Canis lupus familiaris: one gene and its partner. The protein of the gene in region 1 interacts with the protein of each later gene in a biochemical or structural test. Links are inferred from orthologs where the notes say so. Each region holds a gene or a part of one and is shown on either strand. Other genes may lie near its edges.

Region 1 (5,216 bases):
AGGGATAGTAGTCCAAGTCACCCCCAGGCAAACCTCTCCTTTAGGAGCTTGTGAGGAGGCTCCGGCTGGGCCCCTCCTTCAACCCGTGCAATCTGTCCACTCACATTGAGTCTATCAAAAAGATCATCCTCAGGCTGTTTGTTCTCCATAAATAGCTGTAAGTTCTTAAAAACCTAAAGGAAAATAAGTAGAACCTATTATTTAAAAAGCCTTTACTTTGGAAATAATTACAAACTTACAAAAACTTAGAAAATAAAAAAGCATAAGGCATACCCATACCCACATCCTTTTACCGATTCACTGACCATTAACGTTTTATACAACATTCACCATTGCACAATACATGTCTGCCTCACTTCCATCTCTACATACATGTGTGTAGACACACAACTGTTTGTCCTGAATCATTTATGAGCCCTTTATCCTTAAATATCTCCGTGTATTTCCTAAGAACTTCCTAAGGATAGAGATACTCCCTTGCATTCACACAGTACTTATCAGCTTCATAAATTTGCATGTATATATGCTTCAATCTACTGTTCATATTCCAATTTGGTCAGCTGACCTAATGATGTCCTCTACTTCTCCAGGATGGAATCCAATCTAAGGTATTACATTTAGTTGTCATGTCTCTTTAGCACTTCTTTAGTATGGACCACTGCCACAGCCAACAAAGCCTAATGACTGATTAAATATCAGACTTTTAAAGGGCTAGATTACAGGTTCAAGCCCAAGAGTTGGGGGGGGGGGGGGGGACGGATGGACATGGAGCTGCAGTGCCCTCTTTGGGTATGGGCTCAGAGATTTGAGGACTAAAGGGCTATTGCTTGGCTCAGTCAGGAGTTCAGAGAGAGGTTGAGCAAAGTTACAAAAATGACAAATATGCAACAAGACCGGGGGTATGGAAATGTGGTTGAATCATTACAGTAAGGTGAGTTAAATCTTATGCTAAAGTTTGCCACTAGGGCCAACACTCTACAGCATGCACTGTTGACTGTTACTTTAGGACATGGTGCCCTCATTCCCAGGAAGGTGTAGCACGGGGTGGTAGGTGAGGGACAGGGACTAAAAGGAGGTACACAGGACAACCAATACCTCTCCTCTCTCTTTCAAACTATTTCCCTAGTGTTCAGCAAGTGAAGAGCATACAAAAAGCACTCAATATATGCTTGCTGAATGAATGAATGAATGAATGAACGAACGAACGAACGAAAGAAATGAAGGAAAAACAGGCCAGGGTGCACAGGCCAAAGTAACTTACTCGTTTCTCAACAGGGACTTTATTATAGTATCTGATCGAATCTTTTCCAAGGAAGTCAAACTCTACCACGTATTCCTGACCATCCAACTCTGGGTGCAGATTGATATGCTCCACACGAAGCGAGCAGCAACCCACTGTGTCCGCTGTTTCTCCTTCCTCCTTCTCATTGCCTGCTCTCAGAGCAAGCTGTCCAGGAAGTAGGGAGAAATGAGAGCAAATGAAAAAACTTCAATTTTCTACGATCTCTAGGAAATCCAAATCAGAAGTCTCCTAACTCTGGGGATAGAGTATCAGTCTGCAAGGCTTGGGAATTCTGGATTCTATATGCTCCTTCCTCTATAAAATGAAGTACAGAGAATCATAGTGATATTACCCTTTCTCATAAAACCAAGCTTCTCTTTACTCTGTTCTCTCAAATAAGAATGGAGGAAAGGAAGAAATTAAAAAAAAACAACAACAACAACAAAGCAGCAAACAAGAGAGTATTCCTATTCTGGGTGATAGACTCAGTAGTCTCCTAATTTTGCTTAATTTTTGAGATAATTTAGATTTTGTGCTAAGCAGTGCAAAATTGGGAAAGAAACCAAAATCTTCAAAAAGGTAGTGACAAACTCATCTCCTCTAGAGCATGGTCCTTCAAAGTATAGTTGTGAAACATTCATGGATTGTTTAACCAATTTTAAGGGTTATAACCATTCTTTTTAAAAACAAGAAAAAAATTAAAATGTCAGAATTCATTGCTTGTAGAAAGGCTAAACACTGTTTTGTGCAGCTTTGCAGTTACACACAACTACAAATATATTTATGTGTGTTGGGTCATGACGTAAAATAAAAATTTTTTTGGTGGCTTATACTCAGTTTGAAAATGTCATAGTATTTGCAGAAGATTCAGATTTAGAGACCAGCAGACTCCAAATGCCTCTCTCTCCACTTCTACCCTCCTTATTGGACCAGAGATGGGTACTGCTCCAGTACTTAGCACAAGGCCTGGAAATGTAAACAATCCCATATTTGGTAAGCCCAACGTATTAGGCAATGTGATAGGAAGATGCTCACCTTGTCTATGAAGTATAGGGCTACAGCTCTCTGCCGGACTTTCATCTCTTTGGACTTCCAGTCTTCTCTATATTGGTTCCGGATTTTATCCACACACTTCTTCAGTCGCCGAGCAGTCTCATATTTCTGCCAGTCTTTCTCACCCTGCAAAGACCCAAACCCAAAGGTCTATGTAGATTGTGTAGGGATGGTAGAGTAAAAATAGACTTTGAATATTCAAGCTCAGAGCTCTGAACCAAAGGAACCTGAGCATAAGCAAGGTAGAAAAAGAAGAGTACTGAAGAGAAATTTTAGAGTATCTAACCTGGTGAGAACTCATGTTAGTCTCGTTTCACTGTCAAGCACAACAGGCCCCTGTCTAGTTACTAAGCCAGCCTCTGGCTTTCATTCTGTAAAGTGATTATGTTCTTGGGAAAAGCCCAAATGGCACGTCCCCAAAATGGACTTCTATCAATACAAAGGTATAAATATCCCCATCCCCACATCAGCATCAATGCTCTGCTGTAGAGTCTGTGACCCAACAGTTTTCTGCTAGGACTAAATTTCATTAAATACAAATCCAAGACAACCATTCAGTTTGATGGACTGTCAAGAAGCAGAACCAAAGATGACACAACACATTAATTACTAAGGAACACAAAGACTTCCAGGAACAGTGGTAATTATTCACCATTTTCTAACTTCTGCATTTAAGAGTATTTTTGATTAGATTGAGGGGAAACAATGTTACTGAGAAGACTTTTTCTTCTCAAAACATTAGTTTTTGGTACAAGTTCTAAAAATTTATTCTAAAGCCAATGACGTGTTTTTAAAAGGGTATGAAAAGACTGAATCTAATCAACAGTGACAGAAGATTATTTCTGCTACCATATTGAATGGAAACAAGATTCACAAGCAAGGACTGATACTAATGTCAAGTGAGAAAGGTAAGAAAGGGGGGAGAAACATCTATGAAATCCCAAGAGGGTCAGGGAGTATTCTAAGGCCTAAAACAAATTATATGACATGACTACAAGGATGGATTTTTTTTTTTTTTTAAAGCTAGCTAGTTTGCTTATTTCTTTCTTTCCTTTTTCCTTTCCTTCCTTCCTTCCTTTCAGAGAGAGAGGCAGAGACACAGGAGGAAGGAGAAGCAGGCTCCATGCCGGGAGCCCGACGTGGGACTCAATCTTGAGACTCCAGGATCGCACCCTGGGCCAAAGGCAGGCGTTAAACCGCTGAGCCACCCAGGGATCCCCCACAAGGATGGATTTTAAGAACCCAAGAATCTCTGCTCTTAATTCTCCCAACCACAAGAGAGAGGGATAGTGATTTCTACCCACATATGCCTAGTTCCCATCTGACATGCGACATTGGTCCTTGAAGTTTAATAATCATGGTCACGGTAACTAGCCTTCTGAGCATGCAGGAAAGTGAGCTATGTGTAAGTGAGAAACATCTTCTACGTCTAGCTCTAACAACACTCAGAAATGCAAGCTCACCTGGGTATGCTAAGGATTCATCAGCACTCTCCCACAACTGTGTGTGGCCAAGTTGTATGTACTTGTTTGGCTATAAAATAAGAGGTTCAGTAACTACTTGTTGTTGTGGGTGGGCAATTAAGCAGTTGGTGATACAATATCTAAGAAGAAATATCTAAGTTCTATTTCCTGACAAAGGGAAGCTTAAAATTTCTCAGATTTTTCTTAGTACATATTGACATTTAAAAGGGTGAAGAAAAAGGTGTGATACCAGCTGTCTTCATGTACGAGTCAGTAATAAATTTCCATGACAATCATGTCTTTCTCTCTCTCTCCCTTATACACACACACACACACACACACACACACACACACACGACATCAAAGACTCATCTTTAATAGTATAGTCTCCAGTTAAGGAGCCGGCTCTTGGCCATCACTCTAATGCACATAGGCCTACCAAAGCCTTACTCCAAGTCTTCAAAGTCCCATAGGGTTACATTTGCCCAATTCCTTAGTCATGCCACCAAAACAAGGTTTAGAAAAACGCAACAAATAAGTTATTCACAGAGGATACCACAAGATCAACTTTTCTTCACAGGATGGCTGGGCTCTTGATGCAAGGATCCAGGAGTCTCAAATAAGGATACAAAGATGGGAGGGTGGGGGCAGATGCCACCTTGTCTAGGTCTAAGGGAAGGCTGGCTCCAGGAAGTATGCTTATCCCTGCTGTCTTCGAAGTTTCTCTAAGCAGACAGTAAATTACACTTGAACAAGCTTTCTCAGACTACTAGAAAATAAAATACCCATTTCGGTTTTCCAGATAAGGTCATCATCAAAACCGTCTCAGTAAAACAAGGTATCCACTATAGGAAGCTTGCCTTTAACCCTTTCCATTTTCCCCTACCCAAACTTTTGTATGGATAAGAATCTAACTTGATTATACAGGACTCAGGTGTCCCTATTCTGAATCTTTTAGAAAAGATTTTATGTTATATAGTTTGATCAGTTTTGACAATTCATAACCCATGTAACCTACATCCCATTAAGACACAGACTATTCTCAGGGCACCTGGGTGGCTCAGTGGTTGAGCATCTCCCTTTGGCTCAGGTCGGGATCCAGGGGTCCTGGGATCAAGTCCCACATCGGGCTCCTCGTAGGGAGCCTCCTGCTCCCTCTGCGTGTCTCTCATGAATTAAAAAAATAAAATCTTAAAAAAAAAAGAGAGAGAGAGAGGGAGAGAGTATTCTCTATCATTAGAGAAAGTTCACTCATGCCCCTTTCTGGTTAATCAACAACTAAGCAATCACTGTTCTTTAATTTCTATCATCATAGATTAGATTTTGCCTAATTTAAAGTATTATATAAACAGAATCATACAGTATAGGCTTGTGTGTCTAGGCTTTTCAACATGTATTTTAAGATTCATCCACGTTGG
Region 2 (5,988 bases), on another chromosome or scaffold:
AAACATAAAGAAAAAATCAGTTCTTCTGATCCTATTTCCTTAACCAAGCCTCCCAAATTCTAAATAAAGTTTATCATCTTTAGGATACACTGATTAAACCAAACCTTCCCCAAATTTTAAACCTATTGGCTTTAACAAGGTAAGAATGCTTCCTGTCACATTTTGGGGGAATTTCAGATATTAACAAGCATACTTACCTAGGGAAAATAGATTGGGGGGGGGGTGTGAAGAATCAAGGGCTGAAGGCTAAATTATAAACTGGACATTCAAAAATGGTGATTACATATAGGGGAATGATATCAATTCTAATGCAGAGCCAGGGTGAAAATCAAAACCACTTATTAATGGTGTGATCTGGAGGAAATTATTTAACTTCTCAAAACCTTAAAATTTCTCAATTCTAAAATCGATTAAGTACTAGCGCCCGCCTGAAAAGATGGTTGTGTGAAGGCATATATTACTCTATGTAAACTCTTAGCATGATTAGTATGGGGTAAGAATTTAATACTGTTACCCCATGTGAAAATAAAGTTAATTTTAGTCCTTTCCATCACCTATAGCTGATTATAACAACTCAGGAAAACTATAACAAATAATCTTTTTTTTTAATTTTTATTTATTTATTTATTTATTTATTCATAGAGACAGAGAGGCAGACCCAGGCAGAGGGAGAAGCAGGCTCCATGCAGGGAGGCCGACGTGGGACTGGATCCGGGGTCCCCAGGATCACACCCCAGGCTGCAGACGGCGCCAAACCGCTGTGCCACCGGGGCTGCCCACAAATCATCTTTTTTTCTAAATATAATTACTGCATTTCGTATATCCACGCAAGGTGGCTAAAAAGCGTACAAAATAAGATGCACTAGAATAAACCCCAAGTATTAAAAAATAATCTGGGTTCTTTTTATTACCTTAGCGAAATCACTGTACCTCCTTCAACTGCAATGTAATCACCAGTTCCAAAGGATCATTCGGATCTTAAAGGATCTATTAACCAGGTCTTATAAATTTTAATTCCAATACCAGACATAAAAAGAACTTTTAGGGAACCATTCCCCGCTAAAGCCACTCATTCCAGCTAATCATGATGGTTTTGGCTGACTACAGCTTTGAATCTCATGGACTACAAGCAATAAAAACAGTTAAAAAAAAAAAAAAAGAAAAAAAAGAACCCAAACTTCGCCGTTAACTTAAATCTCGGATAACTGTTAATTTAACTTAAATAATCTTGAAATTTACCTACCGAAAATTCTGTTCCCTTTTGCCCTTAAGGCATTGTTTGCTTCACCTCAGTACTGCCCCCTTCCAGGCTACGACTCGGCAGCCCACGAGGAAAGCCGCCCTGACTGGAAGGACGGAGAAACCACAGGCAGGCGAGCCCGGCCCCCTACGTGTAACAGCACGGTGACAGTGGCCTCCTCCGGCTGAGAACGGCCACCGGCCAGGACCGCAGATGAGCCCCACGTGCATTACATAATCACACGAACTACAACACTGCTCCTCCCGTTTTACAGGCAGGCAGTGAGAGGAGGACGCTCGATCTAACCTCCGGCACACCTCTGAGGAGACGCGAACGCAGTGCTCGCTGCGGGCTCCCCCCCCCCCCCCCCCCCCCACCCCCCCCCCCGCCGCACCCCCTCGAGGCCGAGCTCTTTCCAGTACACCGCCAGGCTCGCGCCCCTCGGGAGGGCTTCTAGGAAACGCAGCCCTCCCCCGCCCGCCGGCACAAATCCACAGGTGCGACACCGGAGCCGCCGGCCCGCCCGCCGCCAGCCCCGCCCCGACGCCCCGCCCCGCCCCGCCGAGGCCCGGCCGGCCCCTCAGGCCCAGATCGCAGCTCCCCGGTGCCGGGGCCTCTTCCCAGGCCCGGAGCGCCGGCCGGCCCACCCCTCCCGACCCCCGCGCCCCATTGTTCCGAATCTCACTCACCTCGGAGGATACCGGCGCAGGCCCGGCTGGCGCGCTCGAGCCAAGCTCCCGGCGGCCCAGAAAGCTAGGTCGATGACGGCAGGATCCGCGAAGGCGCACCCGGCGACTTCGCCGCCGGCCCTCAGGAGCCGGAGCAGGCGGGGGCGCTTCACCCTCCTCGCGAGACAGCGGAGACCCCGGCGGCTGCTGCGACCCCTGTGACGTAAAGCGCTCATCACCAATGGCAGCTTGGGGGGAGGCAGCAGAAACGAGACCCCCTCCGCAGCTCCCCGCGCGTCAAAACACAACACCCGCGTGCGTAACGCATGCGCGGTAGAAAGGCGCCGGCCGGCATGGAGGGCGGGGCCTAGAATGCTCGCCCGAGCCCCGGCCCTTCCCCCCCGCCCCCGCCCCCGCCCCCGCCCCTACTCCGGGCGTAAAAGCTCCGAGAATCGCCCAGGCACAAATCACTAACCGCCACCATCACTCTCGTTACCAGTAGTTTCCGGGGCCTACAGGCGCGATACTTGACGTTCGCTCCTAACTTAGCTTGGTCTCGTTTAAAACTGACCAAACTCTGCGAGAAGTTGCTAAAATTACCTCCAGTGTAAAAAGGAACGGAGTTACTTGGAGGGGAAGGGACCGCCTCCAGTTGCACAGCGGGGACAGAACTCTGGGATTCGAATGGAATCCAGAGCCAGGGCCCAAGCAGTGTCCTACGCGGTCTTCGTAAAGAAATCTACTCCAGCCCAGGGGTAAACAGGCATTACCTAAGAGAACGGGGCCTTAAAATCTTCCCAAGACAAGCTTTTTCCTCTCAAAGGAATACTTTACACTTCCCCATTCCCCGGAATCCGGGTTAAAGCCCTCTTTAGGTGATATCTGAGATGTACAGGGACAGAACGTCTGGGCCTAAGGCGGCCCACTGCCCCGTTCTACCCACAGACCTCACACCAGAGCGTCCCAAAACATTGCAGAGCTGGACTTGCTACAACCGCCCGCGTACAAAATGCCGTCTCTGGCTGAAAATTTGACACGTGCTACCGCCCTAAGCACACAAAAAGCGCTCAAAAAACACTTGTTGATTGGCAGTTACGTTATTTCTTCCACAAGCCATTGCGTTCTCCAAGACTTTTGTTTCAGGAAGAAGGGCTCAATGAACAGGGACTCCCCACCACGACTCGTCGCTGTTATATAAAAGTGGGTGGTACTCTTAAGTCAATGATGAATATGCGAACGTCTCTCTGTATTACGTGGAAAGAAATGCGGGTGGAAATGTTCATCTCTCCGGCGTTAGAAGCCCGTGTCATACTTAAAATGAAGATCATTTTTTTCAAATAAATTTTTAAATGCACACGACGGCATATTATCTTGCACGGATATTGCACTGCAACGGAAAGACCCGTTGACAAGGCACGCCCATCTAAGTGGCGGAAAAGGCCATTTTTAACACGTTTCCTCCTTTATTTTACCCTGTCCCCCCACGGCGAGCTAGGCCCCCGGATCACGTGAGCCCGCCTCCAGCTCCGGGCGGAAGAGGCCGGCCGGGCTGATGGGAAACGCTGCCGGAGGCGAGGGGCGGGCGCTCGTGCCCGGCTGAAAGATGGCTGCCGCCGCTCGGCAGCCGCCGCCCCGGAGGTGACTCTAGGGCCTACAGCTTCCCTCCGTTCCCGCAGGCCGCCGCCGCCTCCTTACCATGAAGCCAGTGAGTCGCCGCACCCTGGACTGGATTTATTCAGTGGTAAGTCCCTGGCCTGGCGGGGCTCCACGGTGTCGACTCCCTAGGCCCGCAGGCGGAAGGCCCCCTATTTCTTCAGCGCCCAGAAACTCCAAAATCCATTCCTGTATTAAGGCTTTCACTCTCTCACCTCGACTCCGCCTCTTCCTGGAAGACACGCTCTTCCGCTTCTTACGTAAGGGCGCAGGGTGTACTTGCCTCCGGGACCCCATTTATTCGAGTTTTTCACTGTAATTCTCACCTTAGCAACGTACCACCTCGGCGACCTGTCGGTGCGGGGGGAGGGAGGGAACTGAATTATCACTTACGTAATTTTCTTGGCCTTTATTCCCTCTCTTGCATTTTTTTAGTTGCTCCTCGCAGTCGTATTGCTCTCCTGGGGATATGTCATCTATGCATCGACAGTAGCTGCACGACGACAGCTAAGCAAGGAATACCCAGACAGATCTTGGGGATGAATATTTGTAATTCCTCTGGATTTAATGCTGTTCACATAGTTCTTTACCTGATGCTTCCCTGGCACGTGTCTAGATATAAAGTAAAATCCATTATGCGATGCTTATAAATTTATTTTTGCGTAGTCCTTTATAATCACCACCAATCTAATTCTCACAGAGGTTTTCTTTTACATTCTTATATAAAACAAACCAACCTAGATCTGACAGCATGTTGAGTACTGGACCATAGATGGAATGACATGCTTTTCAACCTAGAGCTTCTAAAGTACCTCTTAAAATGCCTCAGTCTTCTTTAAAACAGTCTGTGGAATTGCTGTTCTTATACTTGTTTATTGCAACATTTCATTCTGTTGCATACCTTCACATAAGATTAAGTACCATGTAAGAAAAAAAAACTGGCATGTGACTACTTTCTACATCCTGTTTTTCAAGTCAAGAATGGTCAGAAAAAGGTAATCACTCATATTTTTTTGGCTTGTCCAGTTTTTACTTATTGTTAAATAACTCAAAGAGTTGCAAATTGTACAATATTTGTGAAGAAATAGACCACACATATCTCAGAGTAAACTTTATTACTTTTCCAGAAAATATATTCAGTAAATACAGTAATGCATCAATAAACGTGGCCTCATATGCCTTTGAAATTTTTTTTGTATGCCTTTGAAATCTTAAAGTAATCTTCAATGATGTTGATCAGGAAATTCTTTCATTGGTGGAATTACTTCTCCAGTCTCCAGAATTATATCACCCTAAAAAAAAAACAAAAAACAAACAAAAAACAAAGATGCATTAGCAAAAAAATCTTGCCTGCAGAGATGATAGTTTCACTTGGTCAGATCTCACAAGGAAAATGTGGTTCAGTTGTGGCATTCACATTTTGAAAGAGACTTAAAGTAGAAGCTGTCCAAAGATGAGCAATATTCAGAATATTAAAGTATACGTGAAGGTGAGGTATAAGTGAAGGAAGTATAAGGGGAAGTTTCACTCAAAATTTCCAGAGGAGCAAGAAAGTGGTCTTCATAGGTGATAAAGAGATAATGTTTATTTTGTATAGCCTCAAGAAATAGGAAAAACCTTAAAAAGTTATGAGGAAACAGCTTCAGTCCAATAGAAGGAGGTAATGTATTCCCACCTGTTTACTATTTGACTCAGATATGAGAGACAGAATGCAAACTTTGCCTGGGTAGCTGGTTCACTGTTATCTTTTCAAACCTAGATACAATGTATATGGTAGAAAGGGCATGGGCTTTGGAGCCAGAATCAAGTGGTGAGAATTCTGGAACCTTCTCTAGGAAGCTGTATCATTTTAGGCAAATTACTTAGCTTTAGTTTCAGCTTTGTGTTTTAGACAGATTTTGTGAGCCTAACAGTCTTACGAATTACTGGGTAGACTAGAAATAACCCCAACCCCACCCTTGCCATTCCTTGACTTTTATTGTGTGTAAGCCATTATACATTTGGGGAGTAATTTGTTACACAGTTAGCATTACAGTTAGCATTACCTTAAAGTGGTACTAATGCTGCTGTAATAAAAATCAAACCAATGGCACTGGCTTAACATTGGAGGCAAGGATGCTGGAATTGGAGGCTAAAAGATGGGGCAGTAGTAACTTGGAAGCAAAGTGTCTAATGAATTGAGGTTCTGGGAGAAGTAGCTAAAAAAAAGTTATAGTATGTTTGACTACTACTAGCTACCTTGGGAATGTACTTTAAGAAATATAAGCTCAGGCAAGAAGAGGCAGATTTAAGAGGAGATACAAAAGTGGAAAGAAGAAAAAATTCAGGACCTTGCAGTACTGGAAAATAAGACTTTCTGAATCTCTAAAAACTAAGAGCTAACAATGAAGACATATTGAGAAACAGAAGCCCAATAAAACCCAAACA

The links.
Region 2: of the proteins of TOP1 (region 1) and TOPORS, one has a biochemical effect on the other in vitro, tested with the Homo sapiens proteins (2 studies listed by BioGRID). The link is inferred for Canis lupus familiaris from reciprocal best matches to the Homo sapiens genes TOP1 and TOPORS.

The regions. Positions count from the first base shown.
Region 1 is NC_049245.1:29,729,143-29,734,358, reverse strand, and holds part of TOP1 (DNA topoisomerase 1), read right to left. Parts: intron 4,095-5,216; exon of another isoform or gene 3,418-4,094; intron 3,244-3,417; exon of another isoform or gene 3,133-3,243; intron 2,462-3,132; coding exon 2,318-2,461; intron 1,448-2,317; coding exon 1,262-1,447; intron 174-1,261; coding exon 105-173; intron 1-104. UniProt on the Homo sapiens protein: Releases the supercoiling and torsional tension of DNA introduced during the DNA replication and transcription by transiently cleaving and rejoining one strand of the DNA duplex.
Region 2 is NC_049232.1:50,046,346-50,052,333, forward strand, and holds the start of TOPORS (E3 ubiquitin-protein ligase Topors), read right to left. Parts: upstream 3,786-5,988; 5' UTR 3,607-3,785; coding exon 3,604-3,606; exon of another isoform or gene 3,404-3,603; intron 2,125-3,403; coding exon 1,930-2,124; intron 1,566-1,929; exon of another isoform or gene 1,244-1,565; intron 1-1,243. Other genes in the region: NDUFB6 (NADH dehydrogenase [ubiquinone] 1 beta subcomplex subunit 6), read right to left, coding at 4,785-4,853. UniProt on the Homo sapiens protein: Functions as an E3 ubiquitin-protein ligase and as an E3 SUMO1-protein ligase. Probable tumor suppressor involved in cell growth, cell proliferation and apoptosis that regulates p53/TP53 stability through ubiquitin-dependent degradation.